Linked DNA regions of Coturnix japonica. The protein of the gene in region 1 interacts with the protein of each later gene in a pairwise test. Links are inferred from orthologs where the notes say so. Each region holds a gene or a part of one and is shown in the gene's direction. Other genes may lie near its edges.

Region 1 (3,519 bases):
AAGTTGCCTAATTTGAGTGGTTAGCAACATAGGAGGAAAACCATTCATGCATACAGCTGGGAATATAATGCTCAGGTGTCACAGCTGTACCTCTGACACCCTACCAGCATTGGTGCACTGTGCCGTACCTCACGATGGTGTGTCAGTACTGGAGAATAGCCACACTTCTGAAATCTGAGGCTGGAAATACGAAACGAAACAGACAGCAATTCTGTCTGGACCGACTGATGAAACTCCTCCCTACCCCTTCTAACAAACTCACTGCATTTACTTCCAGCCTTCTGAAAAGGAGAAACTACTTTCTGTTCATTGACGCTTGTGCTGATTATGCTTGTTTCACAACGTTCCTTTAGCATTTCATGTACTGTGACTGTCTAACTTGAATTTAAGGTGTTGCATTTTCCCACTTCCGCTGCCTCAGTACTAGTGAAAGGTTAAATAGCCGTGTGCATTACCTTGAGGGTCTGTCAGTGCTGGCAGCACAACTGAGTCTGCTGAACTGCTCAGCACAGCGGGTCCTGATGTGGTTGCCATTGTGTGCCAGCTGAAATGGTAGATCAGAGATGGTGCTCATGGTCAACATGTATTGAAACAACATTTGAATTGTTACAGATTTACAGATAAGTGTGCAAATAACGATTTCATACCTCTTTCCTGAGTGGTGATTGACGTTAAATGTGTGCCTGGTTTTCCCTTTTATTAAAAGTGGCCGAAGTCTCTTATTCTCGATAGATGTTGAGATGAAGGTAAATGATGAACTCTCAGGAGATGAATGGTGTAGACTCCAGAGCCATATTGTCCTCAACAGACTTCTTTCAGAGAGGTGGCCAACTGCCTTTAGAGCACCATCGTTTCTATAGAAATGTTTTCTTACGCTGTCTGGAATTCTATCCCAGCTAAAACCAGGATGGCTGGTCAGAACTGTCAGTGGTATCGCATTGAAATGAGAGGAAGTTGAGGGACTACCTTCAGTTGGTCGCTTCTGTAACTGTCTGACCTTTTCTTGTTGTGGTAGTGATTCACTGTGTAAGTTGTTTACATTACATTTTTCCCCCAAAGAAGTTAAGTGATGCGATGGAAAAAAAGTCAAATGTGTAAAATTCCTTCTCTGGTGTAAGAATTTTAAATACAGGTCACTGTTTCTGTTTATGCTATTTTGCTATGAGGAGTGCCAGCAGAGGGAGCACACATTGGCTGACAGTTCGATACCCAGAGTTTGAGCAAGGTGCTGTTACGGGTAGTAAGGAAGGACAACACAAACTTCAGGCTAACTTTTTTTTTTTTTTTTGAGCAAGTGAAATGAATTCTGCTATGTGGGTAAGATCAGTTGTGTAGGTCAGGGGTTCTTTTCCAGACACTGAAAGCATTGTTAATGACCAAGTCCCTTTTTGAAAGCTCACTTCAGTTAAACTGTATTTTAATACCTCTACACTGTACCAGCTGAAGATGCTAACATCAAGGTTTAAAAGATCTCTATATATTCTCATATCTTCTGTTTTATGACAGTTGTGGCAGAGATGTCTATAGGTTTGGCAAAGTCACTTTCAAATTGTCATTTCAGGGCAGCAGCAATGACTCTAAGAACAGTGTTGTTATCTCTGCAAGCATTGTTGGCAGCTGCAGAACCAGACGATCCACAAGACGCAGTAGTGGCAAACCAGGTAAGGGGCTCAGCTGACCGAATTGCTGACATTTCTCTAACCTTCATTAACTTGAACTGAGTTCAGAACCTTGGAGACAATAAAGATCTTTCAATCATCTATTTGGAAACTGCTTTACAGTAGGTGCAAGTTACTACAGTATTTTGTGCTTTACTCTATAGATTTCAAAGTAAATAGCAGCTACTCTGCAGTGTGAAAAGATGTGGTTTTTTTTTAATCTTCCTTATTTAGCTTGTAAGAAATGTCAGGAGATAACGCATAGTAGAATGGATCCCAATATAACTTTCCTTTTAAAATCTGAGATTTATATAAACATTGGCTTATATAAAACAAGTTACACTAAAACAAGTTATAACCTGGTGTTTGTTGGATTTGAATTGGCTTGTAGCTCCTCTTCTGGATTAGTGTGAATTGGTGTTGGTTTGTTAAATACAAAAATCTTAGCATTAGATGCTGCAGGTCGCTACTCAACAAGACACGTTTAAAAATCTACATGGAGCATTCTGTATTTTACCTGTGCAGGTACTTGGGTTAACTATTTTAGTCTAGTTGAGTATGTATTAATGGAATTCTCATGTAATCAGCAAGGTTTGTTATTCTTCAGACAGTAGCAACAATTTATAAAGAAATAATAGCTGGTGGTATTTAAAATATTGATTGAAGATGGGAACAATCTTTCCATGACTTTAATCGTTTGACAGTTGTCAGCAAAATCCCAAGGATGCATGTGATTTTCCTTTTTTCTTTGGGGGAAAAGAGAGAGAGAGAAGGCTTTGCTTTGCAGTTGACCTTATATATATCAATATATAAGGATATATTTCAGTAACAAAAAAAAAACTCAAGCAAGTAAAAAGTTCTTCCAGCATCGATCTCATCTCTATCTCCTGTAAGTCAGCACACTCCAGGAAAGGGTAAGAAGTGTGTACTCCTTTCTCCTAAAGTCTAGTCTGTGTAGGATGACAGTTAATCAGTTTATCACAGCTGTCTGCTTTTAAAGGGAAATGTGGAGAACATAGGAGACCCATTCAGTCTTTTGGTGGAAAAGCTGCTTTACGTTTTCCTCTTTCACATAGAACAAAAATTGAGCTTCCTATTCAGGCTGCTGAAAGTAGGATTTCCGCACAGAATTCTAATGATCTCATAGAAACCCTTCAGCTGGAAACCAGATAGAAAACTTCATAAAACTTCCTGAACTCTGAGTTGCAGTTTTCCAGGTGGCCTTTCAAGTGCCTTAGGGGGTGTCTGGTGGGACCCTGGTGCAGCTGGTGTGGGGAAGGTTCAGTTTCTCCCCTGCAGATATCTACATGAAGAGCCATTTTGCTTTGCTAGCAGGTCGGCCTTCAGTTACACACACGTATGTAAGTAGAAAGTTGTTATAATCCCTTAGAGAGGTAAAGGTAAACATCCAGTTCTTCCACACATGGTCTTTTTTCCAGGTCACCTGTCTAGTCCCGTCCTGTTGTTCCCTTCTACCATCCCCCAAAATCTTCTCGAAAAGAAAATCTAATAAGGAATTATTTATCCTACATGCTCATTTTTTGTTTTACTTTGCTAATGTATGTAATTATTTGTTAGATGAGGTACAAGGCAGTATTTCCTACATGTGCTTCAGCTGAATCCCAGGGAGAACGTGACGTTCTACTCCTGCTCAGGTAATGGCAGTGCTTTCAGGTACCTGCCATCTTCAATGTCCAGTGCCAAAACCACTTCATCATGCTTGACTGGTTGCAGCTGGTTTTTAAGTACAGCAGCATAATTGACTGTGATTTGCAATACAGAGACATCAGTAAGAGGTGCTTGTGTGCTTCTCAATTCAGTGAGAAGCCAGATTATTTACAGGTACCTAAGTAAAGGAGTT
Region 2 (3,519 bases), about 45 Mb from region 1:
GTGAAACATGCTAAATGTTGCTAGCATAAATTCTGCCATTTGATGTTGATGTGGTGTTTGGCAATGTGTACAGGTTCTCCAGACCCAGTTGGATACCTTACTTGAAGGACAAGAGAGCATTAAAAGTTGCAGCAACTTTACAGCCCAAGCCCTCAACCATGGCACCGAAACTGAAGTGCTGCTGGTGAAGAAGCAGATGAGTGACAAGCTGAATGAACTGGCTGAGCGAGATTTCCCCTTGCAGCCCCGTGAAAATGATCAGCTGGACTTCATAGTGGAAACAGAAGGCCTGAAAAAGTCCATTCACAATTTGGGCACTATTTTAACCACCAATGCTGTTGCCTCTGAAACAGTTGCCACAGGTGAGGGACTGCGGCAGACTGTGATTGGACAGCCCATGTCTGTTACCATCACCACCAAGGACAAAGATGGGGAGCTCTGTAAGTCGGGGAATGCTTACCTCACTGCTGAGCTCAGCACGCCCGATGGAAGTGTAGCAGATGGAGAAATACTTGACAATAAAAACGGCACTTACGAATTTTTGTATACTGTTCAGAAAGAAGGGGATTTCACTTTGTCATTGAGACTTTATGATCAACACATCAAAGGCAGCCCATTTAAACTGAAAGTGGTCAGATCAGCAGACGTATCCCCTACCACTGAGGGGGTTAAGAGACGTGTTAAATCTCCTGGCAGTGGTCACGTAAAGCAGAAAGCTGTGAAAAGACCTGCAAGCATGTACAGCACTGGAAAAAGAAAAGAGAATCCAATTGAAGATGATTTGATCTTCAGAGTAGGTAGGTGACTTCTCCGCTAACTACTGCCATAAGCAAATGCAATTCAAGGAAACTGGATGAAAATTTCCCAAGTTAAATTATTTTAACATTAAAGCTCTAAGTAGAGCAACCTGATAATACCTTTAGTCCTCTTAATTATTTCACATATGCATTTTAAAAGCACATGTTTCAGGAATTCTATCGGCAAATATTTAGTTAGATTTTGGGGTTGAGAAATGCATCCATCTGATTTATCATGAAATATTTTACGTGGCAATATTACAAGATCAATGCTGCAGATTTATATTGAACTACTTCTTTAAAAAATTGCATGGCAAGAGACAAAGTAGAAGGATTTCCTCTCTAAAATGATTAACATAGAGGTTAATCTAATTAATTAACCAGGATCTACACATGTTAAAACCTATGATCAAACATAGTTATTTCTTGATATCAACATAGGACAAAATTATTATTTCCTTTATTTGTTGTTTGTTTCTTTAAATGTGTTTTGTACTTTTTCCTACTATCTAAACGTGTTTCATCCTTCATATAATGTAGTAGTATCTCAAAGTTTGTGGGTTTCTAAGGGTTATAAAAATATAGATGTCGTTTATTCTGATTTTCTTTCAGCTCTTTTGGGGCAATCTCTTTTTAAGCTATCTAAGAATTCATAATCTATATGTTATATAAATACCTAACTTATGTAGTTAAAAGCAGCAACAACAACTTTTCATGTTGTACAGCTAAAGAAAAAAAAAAATGAAGTTGACTTTTGATATATACAAGTCTGTATATCATATTTGAGCACTTATCAGAAAAGTAGTTTCTCTCTTGTAGCAGAGAATGAATGGTGGGTTTTCCTTGAGGGTTTTTCAGTAATTCTGTTGAAAACTCATTGGGATACCATGTGTCAGTTGCCCTTTCTGTCAGACTTCTTGTCTGATAGGATTTCTTTAGGAATCTTTACTATAATAGACAATGTATGCAATAACAGTGGCTTTATATCAGAAAATGCATTCAGTACACATGGTTTGCTTGCTTGTAAGACATTATAATGCAAGCTTTGCATATAGCTGCTCATTAAATGTCCAGCCTTTCCCAGATGGATAGTGCATTTCCTTGTAAGATAAACAACTCCTAAATATAACATCTCAAAGCATTTGCTACAGAGTCAATAACATACTGTTTTACTGTCAATAAGGCTGCATTTTCTGATCATTCCTGGGACAAAAGTTAGAAATAAGATGTAGAATAATTCACACTGAAGTTGAGCTGAGCCTTCTCAACAATAACTGCTTTTTGTTGTCCAAAGCTGGTAGGTGCCTTTTGTTAAATTAATACCCAAACATTGCTTTGCCTCTAGCAGGAGGGTGTTCTGGTTGCAAAAGGTATTGCTGAGTTGTTAAAGAAAAAAAATCCCTTGCACAGAGGCAGAGTAATTAGTTCTGGACTTCTGCAGGAATGGAAAGGGATCTGTGGCTTTTCCCAAATATGATTTCACTGCTAGTGCTGGTTAAGAGCAACAGAGAGTATGTACAGATATTTCCTAGATTTTTCTGGGCACCTTGTTTTGAGACAAGGTTAAACAAGAGCTCAGGATGATGCCTGAGCCCTGCCTGAAGGAAAATGTTTCTTTGATCTCTTCTGGAAGTGGTTGTGCCACATCATATGCTAAGAAGAGCATATGCTAGGTTGGATGAGCAGATTTGAAGTCCTGTCATAATTTTAAGACTGTTAGCATTCTTATTATAAAGCTTTTAGTATGGCCTGACATGATTTCAGGTTCTAATTTCTGCTTCTGTATCCCTTGCTTCTAGTGAGTAGCTTCCAACCTAACTGCCAAATAGTGCTATAGCTCTAGTTGTTCCTGCTGTTTCAGTGATTCTCTCTACTACACCATGAACTCTAATACGGCCTTGAATATTTTCTGAAAAGTGTAGTGCCTTTTCATTGTAGTGCAATCACGACTGTGTGCTTTATTTTGGAGCTTTTTCTCCTTCCTTTTCCCTGTCTTCCTCACTGTGTCTTCCCATCATTCAAAGGAAAAAGAGCTACAGCTGTAGCTTTTGCTTGAGGAAAGCCCTCAGGAGTTTCCACATTTAAGATGTTACTGAAAAACTGAACTGGGAATAATGCTTAATCTCATTCCACATTTTGTTCTTGGCTACTCATTTCACAGAATGATCCTATATAGAGATGTCCTGGTGGGATTATGTATGCATCATCATCTAAGAAGTCTCTAAGCAGTTGCAGCTGTAATGCTCTAGCTTCTTCACACTCTTCCAAAATATATGTAATTAATAAGTTAAAACTTCTGACATTTATGCAGAGGTTGCCTTCAGGAATCTAAGATTTTGTTTAGCTCCAGTTTTTAATCACTCAAGAAATTTGAGGTTTGGTCCATCTGTTGATGAAGTCATGCAAAATGCTCTTTTCCAGCACAACTGTGTATCTGTTTGGATCCCACTGTTGAATTCCTCTGATAGCCCTGGCCAAATGTGGATTTTTGTTTAAAACTATGCAAGATAAAGCTTGCACTTGGGCCACCGGAGATACATATGGCTGTGCTGGAGAATTATACTGTAATATTCCTATGGCACGCGAGTATATGGAGCATGCTATTGTATTCCATTGAAATATGGGCTTTTATGCAGATGTAAATCAATCAGCTCCCAGCAGAAGATCATTCTTGTGTGAATATTAAGAAATAGTGTTAACACAGTATTAGTGAAGATAAGTG
Region 3 (3,519 bases), on another chromosome or scaffold:
ACTCTAAGAGAAGCTAACTCAAGGAGTCAGTTCTGATTTTATGATTTATGTTACTTTATGAATATATCTATAACATAGCAAAGTTTAGCTTTTACTTTTGTTTTGTTTTCTTCTGATGCAGACTTTAGGTGTTGGAGTAATTACTGCCTTCAAACTCCTTATAAAAGTACTAGCTGCTGTACACAGTAGTATATTTTGAACTGTTTCTTTTCTATTTAAGTAATTAATTTTTGTATGGTTGGTTTACTGTGCATTGCATACATGTTGCCCATATAATTAAGCTTAAGTAAAATACGTAGTATCCCATTTATTAGATCTTTGCACTATCACTCACTGCTTTTGCACAGTAAGTGTTCTGTGTATAACTGAATTCTTCCTATCATTTTTATATTTGACAGATTAAATGTGGGAAAGCAGAGGCATCTTATTACGTGCTTAAATAAGTAGCTTGCAGCGGGTTGTCCTAACATGATATCTTGTGCTAGATACAAAAGCAAAACATTTTCAGGGAAACTTCAACTAGTCCATTTCCTCCTTTTGGAAGAGAGGTGGGAAAATAATTACATAAAAATGAAAAAGAAAAACAAAGCACAAAACAAACAATCTTTACAAAAGTCTTGTCCTGTTACATTTATGGTGCACTAAAAACAACAAAAATACAATGTTGGGTAAAAGTTGTAAGTCCAGGAATAAATAAAATAAGAGCATCAGTCATTTCTATCACTGGGGAACTTTCTTCATCTAAGCACATATGAACAATTGATCCTTGTAGTCATATATAGCAGTAAACATTAATAACTTAACAGTCTGTAGTCAGTGCTGAAGATATGGAGCATTATTGAAAGATGGAGTCGAGCAGGTGGCACTTTAATATGTTCAGTGTCATGGTTGACTCTAAAGACTAGTAGAATGAAATTACTTGAGGTTCTAAAGATTTAAAAAGCGAACTCATTTTGCTGCACTAAGGAAATGCTACTGATCAGGCTTTCTGTGTCCCTTTTTTCTAGGCTAGAAAATATTAACCCTGAAGAAAATGACATGGTAAGCCATTCTCTGAGGAGATTTCTTGATGTCAGTCTTATATCTTAGAGGCTTAAGTTCAATTGAGTGGGTTTCAAGAACTAAGATGTGGGAAAAAGAAGAATTGACACACTAATAATGTACATCTTTGCTGCAGTATGAAAATTCAATAACTTCACTCAGTCAATTTACAATTCACATGTGCCTATTAATTAAAACCCTATATTAAATAAAATATATTAAAACTTCATGTCTGACTAACATATAATGCTGTTGGTAGACATTACAGGAATTACTGAACAGAATAAACAATGCAGACACAGGGATAGATATACTGAAGAATGGAGCTATTATTCTGAATCGAATACACAGGACCAAAGAACGTAAAAAGAAAATAATAGCTGAGGAAATGAATGCAGTGATAGAGCAACGTGATGCTGCTTTGTCTCAAGTAAGTCTCTACAAGTATGTAATCACTCAATGCCAATATATTTATTTATTTTTTATTCTACTTTTGGGGAATAAATTTACTTTGTTAACTTTCTTCTGCAGAAAATCTCAATATATTAAGATCAATATTATAGTATTATAATAAATGGCTGACTAACAAGCAACAGTTTCTTCAAGGCAGTAGTGGTCTCCAATCTATTTCACAGGAAGTATTGTGTATTCTTTCTACCTGGTCACTAGCTGACTCTTTAAAATGAAATAAATATAGTATTCGTTATACTAAGTAATCTAAAACAGTTTTAAGATCTTAACTTTCCAGTATTCTTTAGCTGTATAAAGCAGTTTGTGACTGGGACTCATGGATTTGTAAAGATTTATAAGTGATAGAAATGCACAGTGAGGGAAGATAAGACTGCCACATGTGACAAAGCAAGCAATTCTTTCCTTTATTGCTTTACATTCAGGAACTGAAAATCTGCATGTGGTCATTGACTCTTTAACATTTCTGCTAAGTAACTTAAAACAATCTGATGTTTTCTATTCTGCTCAGATCAATCATTCTCTCTGCTTTTCCTATCTTTACAGAAGAATATTCTTTCTCTTCACCCTGGAGAGTGTCTCCTTATTTTTCCTATCTCAAAGAAGAGTTGTTATTTTGTTTTGTTTTTTTTCCAAAGCTTTCTTTCCCCCTCCCCCCCCCCCCCCCCCTTTTTTTTTTTAAGCTAGATTTGACTCAATTGGACCAGTCTGTAGAAAGAGGAATACTAAGTAGGGGGCTACATCTCACAAAATTATAGGTTTGATGAACATCCTTACACTTTCAGGCAAGGCAAGAAATTTCATCTATGTCTTGTTCCAGTATTGAAAATTTCAATGTCTGCTGAATGTGAGCCTATATCTAAATAATTCTTTAATTTTAACAGAATTAGATTTAAGGTCAAATTGGTGATCTTGTCTAGTATTAATGATGATTGCATTTATTTTGTATTGATGTGTATTTCTGTAAAAGATATTCTTCCACTCAGTCTGTAATTCTCATTGTTTTTTGTTGATGTTGTTTTTGCAATCATTGTCTTTGCATTCTATCCTGCTGCAGCCCTGAAAGATTCATTTCTTGGTGCCTAACAAATTTTGTGTTTGTATCCTATGTGCATTACAAAGGATGTTAATGTTGGAAGTTCAGTTTTTCGCTGTGTTTTTGTTTGCTTTTATAGTAATGAGGAGCAGTGTAGCTACTAGGGCACATACAACTGTTCTGCCAAAAAAATTTATGCTCTTTGGTTTTTGAGTTATGATTGGATTTCTTCTTTGCACAGGGCATTTGGAAAGTGGGCAGCTTATAGGAAAAAAGCTTTTACTACAAGAGAAGGATCTTTAGATAGTTTTGTTTTTCTTCTACGAGATTCTGCTTTTTTGGTGAAGTAAACTTTCAGACACACTTGGACTTTAAATATTTTATGAAGGATATCAGAATAATGTCATTGTAGGGTGTTATAATATACATTTTAATTAAGTTGATTTTTAAGCAACCTGTTCAAGGAATAATATACAGACATTTATACAAGTCTTTCTTTTAAGAACTTGTAAATTAATAAAGATCATTATTCTATATAATAATGGGTTAATTGCCATAGTTAGCAAAGCTGTCTTTTAGGCCTGATAGCAAAAAGCACAGATAACGTTACATAGGTAGTGCAGCTGATAAAATAAGTAAATGAATAAAGCAAAACACTCCCTAAAATTTTCAGTATTTGGTATTAAGCTGTAATCCTGTGATAGTGTTTGCAGTTTATAAAACCATTTCTTAAAATTAGTTATTGTTAATAAAACTTGATTACTCATGTGTTGTGCTATGTGCATATGTGATACTTTTATGACTGTAGCTATCAAACCTAGAAAATAGCTCCTATCATTTCAACTTGCATCTCTTACTTGATGATTCCTTGGGAATTCATACAGTACTTGAATTATTAGTAGTCTTTTGTTAACATTGCAATAGCAGTAGTTATTACAGTGCTAACAGCAAGAACAATAGGAGAGGGATTCCTA
Region 4 (3,519 bases), on another chromosome or scaffold:
AATTTGAAAGGGGAGAGGATTCCGGGGGCAAAGCCAGCAGAGAGCTACTGGGGTTAACGCAAATACAAATAACGAGTGATTCTGGAAGCTAAATGTGGTGAAAAAATGCAGACCAAGTGTGAGCATGTTCTCTGCAACTACAAGACAAAGTATTTTCTCCTTAAATCCCAGCACTGACTGAGAGATCCTACATGACTGTTTGTGCAACCGATTGCAAAGAATGTGCTGAAAGATTCTAAGAAGTCATTGCCTTTGTGTCTGTGTTTGCTCATTAGTATTTTCACCTGTAATCTCTCATTAATGTGTAATGCTTGTGTCAAACTTTCTCTTTTTAAGGACGCTGTGGTTTAAAACTTTAAGTTGTGAAGCAACTTTGAAAATGTAATTTAATGTGTTTTTTTCTTCTTGAGTTTGTAGGTAATCAAACAACCTCCGAGGGTTCGGTCATTAAATTTTTCTCAACGGGGGCTTGTGTCCTAAAAGCTAATTATAAGGGCTTAGAGGTTATTGTATGTAATTACTTCGCTAATGTTCATTTTAGGATAAATAACTCAGCTGTGTGTCAGTAAGCAGGTTGGGCTTCTGAGCAGTGCATAAGAATGAAAACTCTTGGATCTCCTGAGCTGTGATAAATGTAGGCTTTCGTTACTTACATTTCTTCCAAGTGCAGCTTCAAAAATATCTTCACAGAGCCTTTTACATCAATCACATATCACTTCTTCTGTGTCCTGCTGCCAGTTTTCCTTCATCAACTGTGTTGTGTAATAGCTTTCCCTCACAAATATCCCATCTGGTTTATATTATTTAGAAGTTAAGTTTTGCCTCCAATCTCTTCCTATTTGGCAGCATTAATCATCTTTTTGTGGAAGTTTTTAATAAGCTTTACTTACTTATTTATTTACTTATTTATTTCACTCCGGGCACATACAAAAGGCTTCCCCAATGCAGTCACACTGTCTTCCCCAGAACAGTTTCTGACCACAGTGACTGGAAGAAAATAAAGGGCATTTTTTATTCTGCGAGTATTTAACACTGTGACTGGTTTGCTGTGTATCCAGATTCTGTCATTGCAAAGACTATCTACACGTGTGTGTTGGACCATCCACACAAGATCCTCTATTCTTACTCATTCACTGATACTCTTCAATATTACTGTCAGGTGAAGCCTGATATATGTTTTTAGTAAAGGTAAGATATGAAACCAAATTTGTTTGGTGTCTTTGAAGAATGTTCTTTGCTATAAGGAAGCTTTATGCCAAGAATTTGGTTGGATCCACTGTGTGGTACAAGTGATAGAGTTGACCCTTTCCCATTTACAACCACAGCCCTCTACCTGGCACCATTGCTTTACATTCTAACTATTTAATATACCTTTTCTTTTCTGATTTTAGCAAATATTATGGATGCCCCATCATGGACTCGTATTTTAGATTATATACCTCAGGCATTCCTCCACTATTTTCATTCAGTCCACAGATGTTTCTTCTGCTCCTCAGTATGACATAGGTCTCATTTTACTGTACCACTTAGCATCATTTTTTTCACTACTGAGATACTGATGCTGACCTATATCCCATATGTGGGGGAAATACTGTATTTTCACAAATTCCTTCTTCGAGAAGACTGATTTATCATGGGCATTCAGCATGGTACCTCACAGTTATCATTTGAGACTGCCTAGCGAATAGGTAGCCAGTATTAGGAGGTATGTTGCCTGCCAGTGGTTTATGTGATGATAAATTTGTATGCAGCATCTGTATGCAGTATTTTTAAATAAATGAATGATGAACGTTATCTGGTGATTTGTTGTTCTAACTGTCTGCAGCTCAGAAATTAGGACTAGTTGAGCCCCCATCCCTGCCGCTGACTGCTGAAGAATGGGCGAAAATAAAGCAGAGATCCATTCAGCATGGAGACTCCATCCAGCCCTGCGCAATATGCAGGGAAGAGTTTGCACTTCAGCCTCAGGTACGTGTGTAACTTGTGGACTACACCATTGTGTGTAACTAAGATTTTCCAGAGTTACTCCTAAAAGTCACTATATGGAGGAAGAGAAGAAAGAACCAAGAGGTTCAACTTTAGAATGCCATTTAGTCGTTAGCAGCTGTGTAGAGCTGTGTTGGCCAACTCTGAACTACTTTGCAAGTGAGATGGTAGAGAAAGGTCGGTAGCGTTTGTTCACTGATGCAGTTATGACAGTAGTGGAAAAGGTAATCAGCAGTTTTGTTTGATTTTGCAACACAATTCTAGGCTATATTTTGCTCCATTTAAATTCCCATTAGGTACAAACTTTGGCCTTGTTAATCAAAATTGTAAATACGCGCTAATTAATCAATGTACATTATATTTTCTTTTCTTGCAAATTTCCTTACTTTGTAGTTTAATTCAGTAGTTATTTCCATTTTGAAAAGAAGTATTTCTTCAGATAACATTTTACCTTGGTGTCTTTATTCAACGCCACGCATGTAGCATGAGCACATCCATTGCACTTTATTACAGCCTCTCATGTATCATATTGAAAACGTGAAGTGACGAGTGACTGATTGGAAAGGAATGCTGCTCTCACAAACCTTAGATGGAAGGATTTTGCTTCCCTCTACATGAACATCATTAACTGTAGGTGTAGAGTTGTCCAAAGACAAGTGGGATGGATCTGGCAAAAGACCATTCTACCCTAGAAGTCTAAAGCTGGACAAGAGGGACCAAAAGACAGCAGTCATTAAGGTTACTTTAGATTTGACACAAAAAGGGAAATGCCCCTGGAATCCTTTTCTTTACTTGTCCTCAGAATTTCTTTTAGGTTTCCTCCCTCAAGGGAAAAAAGCCACTGTATCTAAAAGCTTTCCCTTCAGCTGGCAGCCAGCCATTAATCCTTTTGTGTTTGCCAGCTCAATAGTGCACACTACTTGTTCTGGTTTCCCCACTCCTTTCCCCATTTTCCCTTCCTCTAAGAGCCAACCACTGTTTTTGTCTCACTCTATCTTTTGTCAGGATGGAGATCATCAGCATTTGGTGGGAATGTAGGTCAGATAAAGGTGAAGTTTTCTTGTAGCCTGTGAACACACTTTCTCTTTTTCTTGTTTTTTTTTCATCTTATTTTGTATTTTGATGTAGTTTTATTTTAATGTATGAAATGCTGCATTTGATTTACATCACTTCTTGAATTTTTATGTGCTTATGGGAAAGCCGGGGGGGGGGGGGAGAAACATCTTATAACACTTATAATACTTTTATAACACCTTTGTTATAAGTATTGTCCATAATATGTCCATAACATTGTGCTGTAGTTGGCATCTCACACGTTCTGCCACTCCATGTATTGTTATCTCCAAATTCACACATTGGTTTAAGCTGTAACTGATTCAGTAATTCCTACAGAAGACTGAAGATAGTATTTTAACCAGAAAGAATGCACAAGTCACCCGAAGAAGATGACTTAGAATGGATTAAAGATAATTTTCTGTTTTTTACTTTGTAAAACAGGTGTTGCTTTCCTGTTCCCATGTATTCCATAAAGTG

Evidence for each region. The genes of interacting proteins can lie anywhere in the genome.
Region 2: the proteins of UBE2K (region 1) and TRIM2 interact in binary tests that used the Homo sapiens proteins (3 or more experiments, as listed by UniProt). The link is inferred for Coturnix japonica from reciprocal best matches to the Homo sapiens genes UBE2K and TRIM2.
Region 3: the proteins of UBE2K (region 1) and MIPOL1 interact in binary tests that used the Homo sapiens proteins (3 or more experiments, as listed by UniProt). The two-hybrid records come from large-scale screens. The link is inferred for Coturnix japonica from reciprocal best matches to the Homo sapiens genes UBE2K and MIPOL1.
Region 4: the proteins of UBE2K (region 1) and RNF32 interact in binary tests that used the Homo sapiens proteins (3 or more experiments, as listed by UniProt). The link is inferred for Coturnix japonica from reciprocal best matches to the Homo sapiens genes UBE2K and RNF32.

What each region holds. Positions count from the first base shown.
Region 1 is NC_029519.1:62,470,479-62,473,997, reverse strand, and holds part of UBE2K (ubiquitin-conjugating enzyme E2 K), read left to right. Parts: intron 1-1,561; coding exon 1,562-1,661; intron 1,662-3,519. UniProt on the Homo sapiens protein: Accepts ubiquitin from the E1 complex and catalyzes its covalent attachment to other proteins. In vitro, in the presence or in the absence of BRCA1-BARD1 E3 ubiquitin-protein ligase complex, catalyzes the synthesis of 'Lys-48'-linked polyubiquitin chains.
Region 2 is NC_029519.1:17,714,479-17,717,997, forward strand, and holds part of TRIM2 (tripartite motif-containing protein 2), read left to right. Parts: intron 1-73; coding exon 74-797; intron 798-3,519. UniProt on the Homo sapiens protein: UBE2D1-dependent E3 ubiquitin-protein ligase that mediates the ubiquitination of NEFL and of phosphorylated BCL2L11. Plays a neuroprotective function. May play a role in neuronal rapid ischemic tolerance.
Region 3 is NC_029520.1:33,578,275-33,581,793, forward strand, and holds part of MIPOL1 (mirror-image polydactyly gene 1 protein), read left to right. Parts: intron 1-1,007; coding exon 1,008-1,041; intron 1,042-1,300; coding exon 1,301-1,471; intron 1,472-3,519.
Region 4 is NC_029517.1:7,502,546-7,506,064, forward strand, and holds part of RNF32 (RING finger protein 32), read left to right. Parts: intron 1-1,825; coding exon 1,826-1,968; intron 1,969-3,483; coding exon 3,484-3,516; intron 3,517-3,519. UniProt on the Homo sapiens protein: May play a role in sperm formation.